Tribolium castaneum: one gene and its partners. The protein of the gene in region 3 purifies or fractionates together with the protein of the main gene of each other region. This does not show direct contact. Links are inferred from orthologs where the notes say so. Each region holds a gene or a part of one and is shown on either strand. Other genes may lie near its edges.

Region 1 (3,980 bases), about 4.5 Mb from region 3:
TTTTTGACCGAATCCAAATGGAATTCTTTATTTTCCACAGGCAACAAAAAAGTGATTTTAGTTGAGGAGTTTCCAAACACGTTTTTGAGGAATTGTGACGAGTTTGGGCCAGTTTTAGAGTAATTGAGCTAGTTTTTGGTCCAAATAATTAATTTGGTTGGTTCCAGGGAGTGTTACTACAAGGGGAATTACCCGGTTATTTTCGTGTGTACGGACACTTTCGATAATAAAATTAATCTAAGCGAGAAATTATTTAGTGAGGACGTAAGGGTTAAGTATAAAATTGCGACGATTAGTTTCAACGGTTGCGCCCCAACTTTGATGAAGAGTGCCCTGAAAAGGGCCCAAAACCTCGTGCAGGGGAATCCCGATTTATTTAAAATTCCGTCTCAAAGTACAGTCACTGCCATCATTTCCACAGCCATGGGCGACTTGAAATGCGCCCTAAATCAGTATTATTTTGCCGCCCTTTTAGGTAAAAAATCACCCCCCATCCCCCAACTGTCTCACAAAAAAATTCCAGGAACTTCAGACCTGCCAACGATCCAAACCCAAAAATCGGGCACCAAACGCAAACGTGATTCGTCCACTTCGATTCAAATAATGTCACGTGACGAAAATTTGGGCCTTTTTCACGCCCTTGGCCGCGTTTTGAACCCGAAGTTGGGCGAAAATGGCCGACTTGCGTGCGATTTTGACCGATTGGTCAACGAATTCACAACACAGCCTGGGCTTTTCACAGGGTTTTTGTTCGAAAATTACTTGAAATATTTTGGGGATTTGGTGGATGCCAGTCAAGGCAGTGAGAATTTGAGTTTGGGTCAAACATTTCTAGAAAAGTTGGTCGATCGACATGATATTCTCGACTATGCGATTTGGGTCTCCGTCTTGGGCTTGATGGTACATAATGGGCATAAGGTGTCGCGATGGAACCAAATCAAGGGCCCCACCAAGGTGCAAAAGTGGGTTTTGTGGTCTTTTTTTGGCGTTTTTTGATGGGTTTGTTTGCAGGGTTGTGCCAAATCGCGAGGTTTCAGTGACTGATCTTTATTACTACAACGTGATTAACAATAAGACTAATTCGGGCTTTGTATTGTCGTGATTAATAAATTTGAATTTGGCGCCTTAGTATTGTCTTTTTCTCTCTCTAACTTGTTTTTACCCCTATCTTTTCTCTCTCTCGCCTGGCAGATGACATTTCAAACGTCACGTCAAATGTCACTTGTCAAAATCGGGGAGTTATCGAAAATTTTTCTAGAAAAACAAATAATTTCATTGTGTGAGTACCAAAACCGTGCGAAATGTCTCTAAACACGGCTCATATAAACGGCGGTGTTTTAATACACGCCGGTGAGAGGTAAGCAACTTCTATCCAGACGTTTCGCCCCCTTTAACGCATCGTTAGGATTTTACTGTTCGCGGACGACGTCAGCATCGAATGGTCGGGTCAGGGGGACCCCACATTCAAAGGCACCAAAACCGGCCGCTTCTACCTAACCACCCACCGACTTGTCTTCAACAACAAGAGCGGCAGCGACCCCATGCAAAGTTTCAGTTTCCCGTTTGTAACACTGAGTGAGGTACGTTCGCCCCCCTTTCACTCATCATTTGTAACAAGGGGGCTGTAGGTCGAGATCGAGCAACCCGTCTTTGGCGCCAACTACATCAAGGGCAAAGTCAGGGCGCAGCCCAACGGCAACTGGATTGGCGAGGCCAAGTTCAAATTCACTTTCAAGCGTGGGGGCGCCATCGACTTTGGCCAGGCGATGCTCAAAGCCGCATATTTGGGTGAGTTGTGCAACATTTTGCAACGAAATTTAAACTTTTTCTTTAATTTAATCTCCCAATAAATAAGTAGGCGATGATAAAAACATCACGTGACCGTTGCGTTGCTAAGCAACGTTATTGTTTTTTTTCGTTTCAATCGAGTGACCTTGGCATTTTGTGGTGCCAGTTGTAGGAATTTCAATCAAACAAAAAAAACACCAAACTGGAAATAGAAACGATACTCAACTATTTAATAAAAATTGCAAATTTAATTATAATTGAGTTAAATTGTTTCAATTAGCCGATTTAGGTGGTGTAACAGGTGAAACTACCGGTAAAATGTTTTAAGGCTAGTTTCGTTTCGAATCAGGGCGAAAACACAAGTGTTACACTGTTATTTTTTTATTCAGTTTCATTTAATTAACAAAAATAGGTACAATAGGTGAGGAATTATTATTATTTTATTATTCGGAGTCGTTTTCCACCTTAATTTCTCTAATTTCTGGTGAATCCGCCTCCTGGTTCGCAATCGTGCTGGAAATGCTGATATTTTTGCTGAATTTCTTGTTAGAAATCGTACTCATGTGCGTCTTGAAGTGTTTGTGAATGTTGGACATGATCCAGAATCCGTTCTGATTTCTGAAAATTTTCACGTCTTTGAGACAAATACAGCACGTGATGTAACACTGATTTGAATCTTCGCTTGAAATTTCGGCCCGCATTTTAGACATTTCTCGTGTCACGTAAGCCGACTCCTCATTGGTCAGATTGCGTGAGCAAAAGTTTATTATCCAATTAGAAATGAGCGCTAGAATGTTTTGTTTTTCGCTTTCGAAATCGCGTTGTTCGTCTGTTTTTTGACGTTTCGTCGGTGCTTCACACGTGTCCCCCGTGTGACGTTTTTTCCATGAAAAGCTGCGATAAAATTGTGCCATTTCGAGGAGGATTTTCCGATGACCGGAAAATATCGTAAACAGTTGCGGTTCAGTCGCGAAAATCCCCAAGTATTTTTCATGGAGGACGCGATCGATGACACGTGGGATGATTTCCCGCCCGATTTTCACCAATTCGTCGATGTCTTCACTCTCGAATTTCGACAGCGAGGTTTTGTTGTCGAAACCGGCGAATAATAGCAAATTCTTGACGTGTGTCGGAATTTTCACTGATTTTTCACGTTCGAAACACTCGAGAATATTCTCGTCGGCCATGATTGTAATTACGGTTAATTTCGGGTAATTACGTGTAATTACCCGAGTATTGATCACAAATGTGGCTCTCTCTAGCGACGCGAGGAATGAACAACGACGCCCCTCCCCCGTACGTCCCCCCCAACACCGAATGGTATGCGGCTCCGCCCCCGGCCTACGCCCCCCCGCCGGAGGGTTACTACGGCTGGGTGCCGCCCCGTCACCAATTCCCCGATAATCCGCCAACCGACGGCGTTTACATGACACAAGCTCCGCCCCCGTATCCCGGCTTAAACCCCGCCTACCAACCGGGAGGGTATCCGCCCCCGCAAGGGGGTTACCCACCCCAAGGTGGGTATCCGCCGCAAGGGGGCGCAGCCGGATTTGCCTCACCTGCAGGTAATTATCAAGGACGCTAACTGCCAAATAAATATTGTTTTACGAAATTTTGTTTTATTTAAGATGCGAAGGCAGCCGAGGCCGCACAATCGGCCTACTATGATCCCAATCGGCCACAGATGGCGTTCGTGCCGCCGCCGGCTTATTACGTAAGACAGGGAGACCAATCGCAGTTAGAAAAAAAAACACTATTTTGTTTTAGGAAAATCCCCCAAGTTACAGCCAAGCTACCAATAAGAAGGAACAGTGATGGGGTCACGTGACACTTAAAATTTGTATCAATTCTTTCTAATGTCTTTATCCAATTATGCAAAAGTATTATTTGTTGGTTTTTAATTGTTGCATCATTCCATTGATAGGTCCACGAAATATGCATGCGTTTTTTACGGCAAGGCTTTGCAATAGTTTGAGGCACTTATTTGCTTGGAAATTTTGTATAGTTGAGATTATTGTAATATAATTATTCTTATAACGTGTAGATAGATCTGTATAATGCAAATAAATATTTTATGTGCAAATGTGCACGCACTTGTTTTTCTGCCAGTGCTACAATCCCACAATAAGTCCCAAAATATGAATTTGAAAAAAGGAAACGAGAAGTCAAAGGGGAGATTTTACCTGATCGCC
Region 2 (4,120 bases), on a different chromosome or scaffold from region 3:
CTCTGACTACCAGTTAATCAGAAACAAAGTCTCAGGGGTGTTACCATACTCTCACTATTTTTACAGGTAAATTCAAAAATTCAGTTGAAACAAGCGTAAAGGTGAGTTGTAGCGGAGTCACGGGCTCTGGCGTTTGTATTTTATCGCGACACCCGATGGAGGACGTTTTTTTCCACCAATGGCCAGTAAATGGTTACATTCATAAAATCCACCATGGTGACTGGTTTGGTGGAAAGGGCGTGGGTTTATGTAAATTAAAGGTGAACAATTACACCGTCAACGTCTACTCTGCACATGTAAGATTTATTTTGCTTGATGAACAACACAAAGAGTAATAATTTTAGTTGCACGCAGAATACGACCGAAATTGTGATGAATACCAAGCTCACAGAGTGCTCCAATCTTTCGATACCGCTCAATTTATCCAAATGACGTCTGGAGACGCCGACCTAGTAGTCCTGGCCGGGGACTTAAATACCGAACCTGGAGATTTAGCCTACAGGATAATGTTGAGTGTTCCGGGACTTGTAGATGCGTTTGGTGAAGCTGGAGAAACGGTGCAGAATTGTGTGGCGACAAATGAAAGCCTCACTAATAGTTACACACCCGTGGCCTTACTCAAGAAAAACATTCCTGGCAAAAGAATCGACTATATCATGTATCATCCAGGCTCAAGTTTACAAATCGATTTAAAAAGCTACACATTGCCGTTACCACACAAAATCCCCGGATGTGCGTACAGTTACTCGGACCATGAAGCAATCGCTGCGACTTTAATCGTCACAAAGAGCGAGATAAGGTCGCTGAAAAGCGACCAACACATGAAGAAAACTGTCCTTGAAGAGAGCATAGAAATCTGTGATGACGCACTCAGGGGCTTGAATAACCATAAATATTTGTACTGGTTTTTTACGTTCGTTTTAATCGTGTTGCTGGTTACGACACTTGCAACTGACCTACCTTTCGGCTACAATCTGAATTTTATTTACCACATTTTGAAAATTTTAATCACCCTTTTTATGTTTTACACTTTGATGATGGCAACTATCTGGAATAAAATCGAACGTCATGCTGTGATTGCGGGCAAGTTGGGAATGGAGACAGCTTTGAGGAAATTAAAAGCCAAAGATTTGTAATTATATCAGGGCCAAAACAAGCTCAGTATTTTAAATCAAAGACCAACACCTGTTGCTCATTTTTTATTTGGTTTGTACGACTGTGATCGTTTCTGTACCACTGGTGAATAAAGTTTTCATTTTTTAACTGTTTGTACTTTTTTTCCCCGCCTATTTTTGAACTGAGCGCAACTTTGCCATCTGTTTGACGCTGATTGGTCGGCGAATTTGTGTTTATTCTCTTCATAAATGCGGTGTATTACGTGGTGTTCAAGAACTACAATAAAAATAATCTGATAATAAATGAAATACAGCCTAAGTAAACACCAATTTGAGTTAAGACTGTGGTGCTGAAGCTAGTGTTGTAAGAGTGCTGTGTAAAACTACTTCCGGATTTTGAGGTTAGGTATGTCATTTTATTTTGTCGGTCTCTAGAATTTTAATTATTTCATCGTGAAGTCGGCTTTTTTGTGCATTTTGTAGTAATAGCGTGTCGATAGTTGGGTAAGAGAGTGCGTTTTTGTCGATATTTGGCGTAATTTCGTAACTAATCGATTGGGAAGTGCGTTCACTAACCTTTCAGGTTAATTTTTTAAATTGGATTAGTCCCTGACTTATATTAGTAAATACTGCTTCCGTTTCGTCATCCTGTAATCACGACACATAATTAGTGCCCGGTTTGGTTTGCAGGACAATATATGATCACAAAATGCTTAGAAGTCTCGTTCCGGCAGTAATCACGTTATTGTTGATATTTTCGGCGGTAAAATGTGACGAAGTGGACGATTCTGACGAGGCTACTGTGGAAGTAGAACCGGAAGAATCACACATTGATATCCCCTACGAAAGTCCGAGCCCCCTTGACCCGAAAAAGGTCTATTTCGCCGAGCATTTCGACGATCCAGACCAGTTTGCGAAACGTTGGATAAAATCCCAAGCGAAGAAAGAAGGGATTTCCGAAGACATCGCAAAATACGACGGTGAATGGCAACTTGAACCAACCCAAAAAGACAGTCTAGTGGGCGACAAAGGTTTAGTGCTTAAATCAAAGGCTAAACACGCTGCTATTGCCTCCTCTCTCCTAAAACCGTTTATTTTTGATACTAAACCATTAATCGTGCAATATGAAGTAATATTCCAAGACGGCCAAGAATGTGGCGGAGCCTACTTGAAGCTGCTCACCCAGGACTCCGCCAGTAAAAACTTGAACAACTTCCACGATAAAACCCCCTACTCGATCATGTTCGGCCCCGACAAGTGCGGTAACGACCACAAGCTCCACTTTATCTTCAAGCACCGCAACCCTCTCAACGGGAGCGTCGAGGAAAAGCATTGCAAAAAACCCAAAGACCGCATTGAGGAAGTCTTCTCCGACAAACTCCCCCACTTGTTCACCCTTGTCCTGCACCCTGACAACACCTTCGAGATCCTAATCGACAACAAAGTGGTCAATTCGGGAAGTTTGCTTGAGGATTTCACCCCGGCAGTGAATCCTCCGAAAGAAATTGACGATCCTAATGACAAGAAACCTGAGGATTGGGATGAAAGGGAGAAAATCCCTGACCCAGATGCCGTGAAACCTGACGATTGGGATGAGGATGCGCCGGCTCAGATTGTTGATGAATCAGCGGTGAAACCGGAAGGTTGGCTGGATAATGAACCGTCGCATGTTTTCGATCCTGATGCAAAGAAACCAGAAGATTGGGATTCGGAAATGGACGGGGAGTGGGAACCACCGCTTATTGATAATCCCGCTTGTAAGGATGCTGTCGGGTGTGGGCCTTGGGAGCCCCCACTTATCAATAATCCCGATTATAAGGGGAAGTGGAGGGCGCCGCTTATCGATAATCCTAATTATAAGGGGAAGTGGAGGCCCAGGAGGATCCCCAATCCCGAGTTCTTCGAAGATAAGCATCCCTTTAAAATGCAGACTGTTGTAAGTAAATGGTTAAAAAATTATCTTGTTTATGTAACTGTAATTATTGGTGCCGATATGTTTACATTATTTTTTCTTCTTGTTCAAATTTATCAGTTGATTTTGTACACTATTAGAACATAGTTTACAAATCTGCAGTCAAAATTTGGCTGTCAGCTCTAGTTTCCTCTCCAGTTTCCAGAATTTGTGAAAAGTATATTTCGATATGCTTTGTACAAAAATAACAAATTCTGAGCTTCTAATTTTGTTAGCAATTTTTTTAGAGTGCCTAGGACAGTGAGAAAATGGTAAAAGAATTGCCTCTTGATAAAATTGAGCCAACTTGAAATTGACACATTTATTTTTGCGATTTTTTTTTATTATCTTTGGTTTTTGGCAGAATTGTAGTTGTTTAATTTCCATATTTTTACCGAAACTGCGTATTTGATTATTGCATTGTTGCCTTCAACAAAACATGTTGCAAAAAAGAATTGTTTGTGTCACTACAAAAGGATTTAGTTGCTATGTGAGATATGCTAACTAAGGAAGTAATATATACTTAGCCACACCCAATCGTTTTTATGCTTATTTTGGCGAATTTGCGTTCGTATTGTGATAAAAATGTTTTGTAAACCTAAATAAAGAATTGTATTTTTGCAATTCATTCAAGATTAATTTATCTTTGGACAAATAACTTTTTTCAGACCGCTGTTGGATTTGAGTTATGGTCAATGTCAAAGGACATTTTCTTCGACAATATTATTATTACCGACGATATTACCGTTGCGAACCATTGGGCAGACGCCACTTTTGAAAAAAAGAAGCAAAAGATCGCCAAGGATTCGGTTAGTATCTGTTTAATTTAAATGAATTTTATTATATTTGTGATTTTTTACTAAATAAGAGGACACTGTGGGGTCGTCTTATGAAAAAGTTAAACTATAAACCTGTACCGTGGTTCTTATATTTCGTTTATTGCGCCATACCGGTTTGTTGTTACATATGGTACCTCTACTTCTGCATTCAAGAGGTATTTTCGTACTGCTAGTTATAGTTTTCTTTGTTTTGACATAGGAAAGCGTAATTCAAA
Region 3 (3,961 bases):
TTATTTGATAAATAACCATCAAACTTAATAAGTTTGTTAAATGTAGGTCAAGATGTATGTACTAATAATGTCATCAAAAAAGCACTGTTTCTATTTTTAATTAATTAATTTTTTTATTTTTTTAACAGTAATTCCTAAAGCGATTTAAAGAAACTTTAGGGACATGTAAGAAGCTTGAAAGGCAACCTACTGAGCACAAAAAAATAATAGCATGCCATTAAAAATTATTATTATGACATAAAACGTTTTTTAGGACTCTCTGTATAATCAAAAATATTTTCAAAAAATGAGTCCTATAGTATAAATGAGCTGGATCGTCCTGTATATTTTAGTCATTAGTGAGTAAACAGAAAATAAAATCAGTATTAATTTTCTCTTTATTAAAGAATTTTTTTATAAACTAGTGTTATAGCCACTTATAAAGGTTACTGGAACACATCTCGTGGCTGTGATTACGCAAAACTTTCACTTTCTTTGAAAACAATCAATTTCAGCCAATTATACAACGCCGCTTTTTGTCCGTCCTGATTTTTTCTTTGTTTTGTTGACACAGCTTCGTAATTATTTTGCACATCAATAATGCAAGTACAAGGTGAACACTAGTGTTGTTCTTGACCCACAGAACATTGTCGCAATTGTCTACAATTAAAACAATTTTCAGGCGATTACAATTACGCAATCTCGACATTTTCAAAAATACAACATTACAATGATTACGACCCCATTTCCTGGGTGTGAAACTGTACCATTTGGTAGCGACGAGTATTGGGCTTGTGCCGTTCGGCACGTTGCCACCACTCTGGGGCACCAGGTTGGGACCTGCAAAATGGGGCCCCCGAGCGATCCCGATGCTGTGGTCGACGAGAGATTGAGAGTTTATGGGATTAAAGGGTTAAGGGTGGTCGATGGGTCCATCATGCCCAATGTGGTGGCCGGACATACCAATGCTGTGATAATGATGATTGGGGAGAAGGCTTCAGACATGATCAAGCAAGAGTGGGCAAGAAAGTGACTAGAACCGGTTTTTGGTGCATAAAGTACGGGTTTGTTGATTGTATAAGACTGTAATTAAATAAAAGCGATTTTCTATTGACGTGATACTTTATTTGTCCCCCTCAAAAGACCATTTCTTGCGATTTATTTGAATATTCCCGCGCATACCGCCAACCAAAAAAACCAAAATCCCCTAGAAAATTTATTGTTTATTTTCGCTTGATTTTAAGCAAAAAACCATCAAAAACATTAAGGGTGCAGTTTTATTAACTAACACGTTCTTGTGGGTATTTAATTGCTGTAGTCCTACCGGACCGCTCGAAATCGTGGTTAGTGTTTGAGGTTATGTTAGTGGAGCCCCCGTAAAATGAACCTCCCGGAGTCCGACAGCGAGGACGAGTTGCCCCCCGGCTGGGAGGAGCGCGTGACGGTCGACGGTAGCGTTTTCTACGCAAATCATTTAACCAAAGCCACGCAATGGACGCACCCCCGAACCGGGAAGAAAAAGCGAGTCTCGGGGGATTTACCCTTCGGTTGGGAGCGTTGTATTGACAAAACGAGCGGAAAAGTGATTTACGTGGACCACGAGAACCGTAGAACCACTTACACTGACCCAAGACTGGCTTTCGCAGTTGAGGAGAAAGACCATCCGAATGATTACAGACAGAGGTTTGATGGGTCAAGTACAGCCCTTCAGGTGTTACACGGCCGCGATTTGAATGGAAAAGTTGCCCTGGTGACGGGGGCTAACTCGGGGATTGGGTTTGAGACGGCGCGGTCTTTGGCCAAACATGGGGCCAGTGTGATTTTTGCATGCAGGGACTTGGAGGGGGCTGCCGAAGCCATTGCGAAGGTTAGGGAGGAGAAGGAGGCGGCGGGGGAGAATTGTGTGGCGATTTATCTCGATTTGGGGGATTTACACAGTGTGGACAGTTTTGCCAACCAAGTGAAAACAATGTTTAAACAGATTGATATGCTGATTTTAAATGCGGGGGTTTTTGGACTTGCTTTTAGTAAAACAGTGGATGGTTTCGAGACTACGTTTCAAGTGAATCATTTAGGACATTTCTATTTGACACTTTTGTTGAGACCTTTGTTGGTCACAGGGTCAAGAGTTGTTGTGGTCTCATCAGAGTCTCACAGGTGAGGTGTGCCAACCTTGCCAGTGGTGTCCGGTTATAACGAACTCAAATAATGCGTCAAAATAAGCGTTAAATTAAAAAAATATTAAATAAGACGAAATAACTAAGTTTTGTAAAAAAATATGAATCCTTTGCGATACATTAATATGTAGGGTAAGGTGGGGCAGCTTCGGACGACTTTTTTTTTGGAACCCTTCAAAAGTTTTTGAAATTATTTCGCAGTTTAAACGTTTGCACCTTTAAAGAGCTTATGTATTTGTCTACATTTTTTTATTGATTGTAAAAAAACATGAATTATTTGGAAAGCAGTAATACAGGGTGACACAGGGGTGTGTAATTGGTCTATAATTTTTTTATTATCTAAAATATTGCCTTAGTTTTACACAAACTAAAAATGTTTTTTAATACAGGGTGGTGAACCAAAGTTAAATTTTTTTAGATGGAAATATTTTTGCATAATTAGATTCTACACAAAAAATAATGTAACTTTATATAAATTATTATAGGTGTATTTCTTTTCGTTTTGGAATTATTCAATTTATCTTATAAAAAAGATCAATTTTTGAAAAATTACTACGGAGTCTCCAATGAATATTTTTCAACACAGAAAAATTCAGAATACTTTGCAGTTTTAGCAAATTGTCGACTTTTACTTGAAACACGCAAATAATGTACAGAGTGTGCCAAAACACAATAACTAATTTTTTTCAAATTGATCACCATGTATTCTTGTACACGTATAGATAGCATTTCTGATAACCTTTTTATGATATGTAATTGCTTAGAAAATTTGAAACATTTTTCGAGATTAAAAAAAAATATTACAAGAAAATTTGTAATCTTAGAATCTGATAAGTCAAATGGTAGTTTATGTTTTGATATAATAATAATACTTTAATAATTATAATAATTTATTTGTGGCACTAAAATGGTTACAATATAGTTAGTTACAACAAGAAAAAAAATACGATAACAAAATTTAAATTTTCTACAAGTTGTTCTTACCTCAATTGGCCCAGACAATAAATGAGAAATAACAAAAAATAAAAATAAACAATGTGATTGAAGAAAAATAAAAAAATATAACAAAAAAAATATCTAATTCTATTTAACAAAATTATAGAGAGGAAAAAAACACATAAGAAAAATAGAAAAATCATTTTATAAGAAACTTTCTGTATTTGTGTTTAAAATTGCTGTTTTTATAATTTTTTAATGTTAGATAAACTTCATTGTAGAATAAGTACAGACTGATCCAGAAATACTGAGTCTGTTGGCAACACTGGACTTAAATTTTTAAGGACACCAATGCAGTACGCTTTCATTTAAAAACAATTTAACATTCTTGTGGGGTTGTACGTCAAATAATTGTCAAGAAAAATAGAATTCGGTTGCAATGTTGCAAATTACGAGCACAAATACTTTCAAATGTGTTGCCAACAGACTCAGTATTTCTGGATCAGTCTGTAGATATGTACTAATATGACTAATCACATTAGTAATTTAATTATTACTTGATGCATAAATGAATTTTACTGAAAATCTTACATAAATTTTACTGACACATAAATGAATTACTCAGGTAATTGCTGAAAACCCATTAAAAAAACATTGAGCTTATGGAGAGATTTTCGGTGCTTGAGAAATAGTTCGTTATAGCCGGAAGTTCGTGATAAGCGGGTTCCACTGTAACAAACTTTTTCCAGATTTTCGAACTTGACGACTGATAACATTTCCGTGCAAACTCTTTCGCCGGAAACCCCGGCCAAATACTGGGACATGACGGCTTACAACAATTCCAAGTTGTGCAATGTGTTGTTCGCCCG

The links.
Region 1: the proteins of Wwox (region 3) and Wbp2 purify together in Homo sapiens (affinity purification with mass spectrometry; 3 studies listed by BioGRID and IntAct, with this or other methods). This does not show direct contact. The link is inferred for Tribolium castaneum from reciprocal best matches to the Homo sapiens genes WWOX and WBP2.
Region 2: the proteins of Wwox (region 3) and calnexin purify together in Homo sapiens (affinity purification with mass spectrometry; 3 studies listed by BioGRID and IntAct, with this or other methods). This does not show direct contact. The link is inferred for Tribolium castaneum from reciprocal best matches to the Homo sapiens genes WWOX and CANX.

Annotation. Positions count from the first base shown.
Region 1 is NC_087399.1:3,370,658-3,374,637, forward strand, and holds Wbp2 (WW domain-binding protein 2), read left to right. Parts: upstream 1-1,180; 5' UTR 1,181-1,301; coding exon 1,302-1,357; intron 1,358-1,405; coding exon 1,406-1,580; intron 1,581-1,628; coding exon 1,629-1,788; intron 1,789-3,050; coding exon 3,051-3,353; intron 3,354-3,416; coding exon 3,417-3,502; intron 3,503-3,555; coding exon 3,556-3,603; 3' UTR 3,604-3,877; downstream 3,878-3,980. Other genes in the region: cell cycle checkpoint protein RAD17, read left to right, coding at 1-119, 168-475, 524-962, 1,012-1,102. UniProt on the Homo sapiens protein: Acts as a transcriptional coactivator of estrogen and progesterone receptors (ESR1 and PGR) upon hormone activation. In presence of estrogen, binds to ESR1-responsive promoters. Synergizes with YAP1 to enhance PGR activity.
Region 2 is NC_087402.1:5,190,082-5,194,201, reverse strand, and holds the start of calnexin, read left to right. Parts: upstream 1-1,320; 5' UTR 1,321-1,516; exon of another isoform or gene 1,517-1,521; intron 1,522-1,524; exon of another isoform or gene 1,525-1,619; intron 1,620-1,805; 5' UTR 1,806-1,824; coding exon 1,825-3,051; intron 3,052-3,734; coding exon 3,735-3,875; intron 3,876-4,104; coding exon 4,105-4,120. Other genes in the region: nSMase (putative neutral sphingomyelinase), read left to right, coding at 1-66, 113-296, 345-1,136. UniProt on the Homo sapiens protein: Calcium-binding protein that interacts with newly synthesized monoglucosylated glycoproteins in the endoplasmic reticulum. It may act in assisting protein assembly and/or in the retention within the ER of unassembled protein subunits.
Region 3 is NC_087399.1:7,889,657-7,893,617, forward strand, and holds the start of Wwox (WW domain-containing oxidoreductase), read left to right. Parts: upstream 1-1,161; 5' UTR 1,162-1,276; exon of another isoform or gene 1,277-1,327; 5' UTR 1,328-1,360; coding exon 1,361-2,136; intron 2,137-3,841; coding exon 3,842-3,961. Other genes in the region: glucose dehydrogenase [FAD, quinone], read left to right, coding at 662-1,012. UniProt on the Homo sapiens protein: Putative oxidoreductase. Acts as a tumor suppressor and plays a role in apoptosis. Required for normal bone development. May function synergistically with p53/TP53 to control genotoxic stress-induced cell death.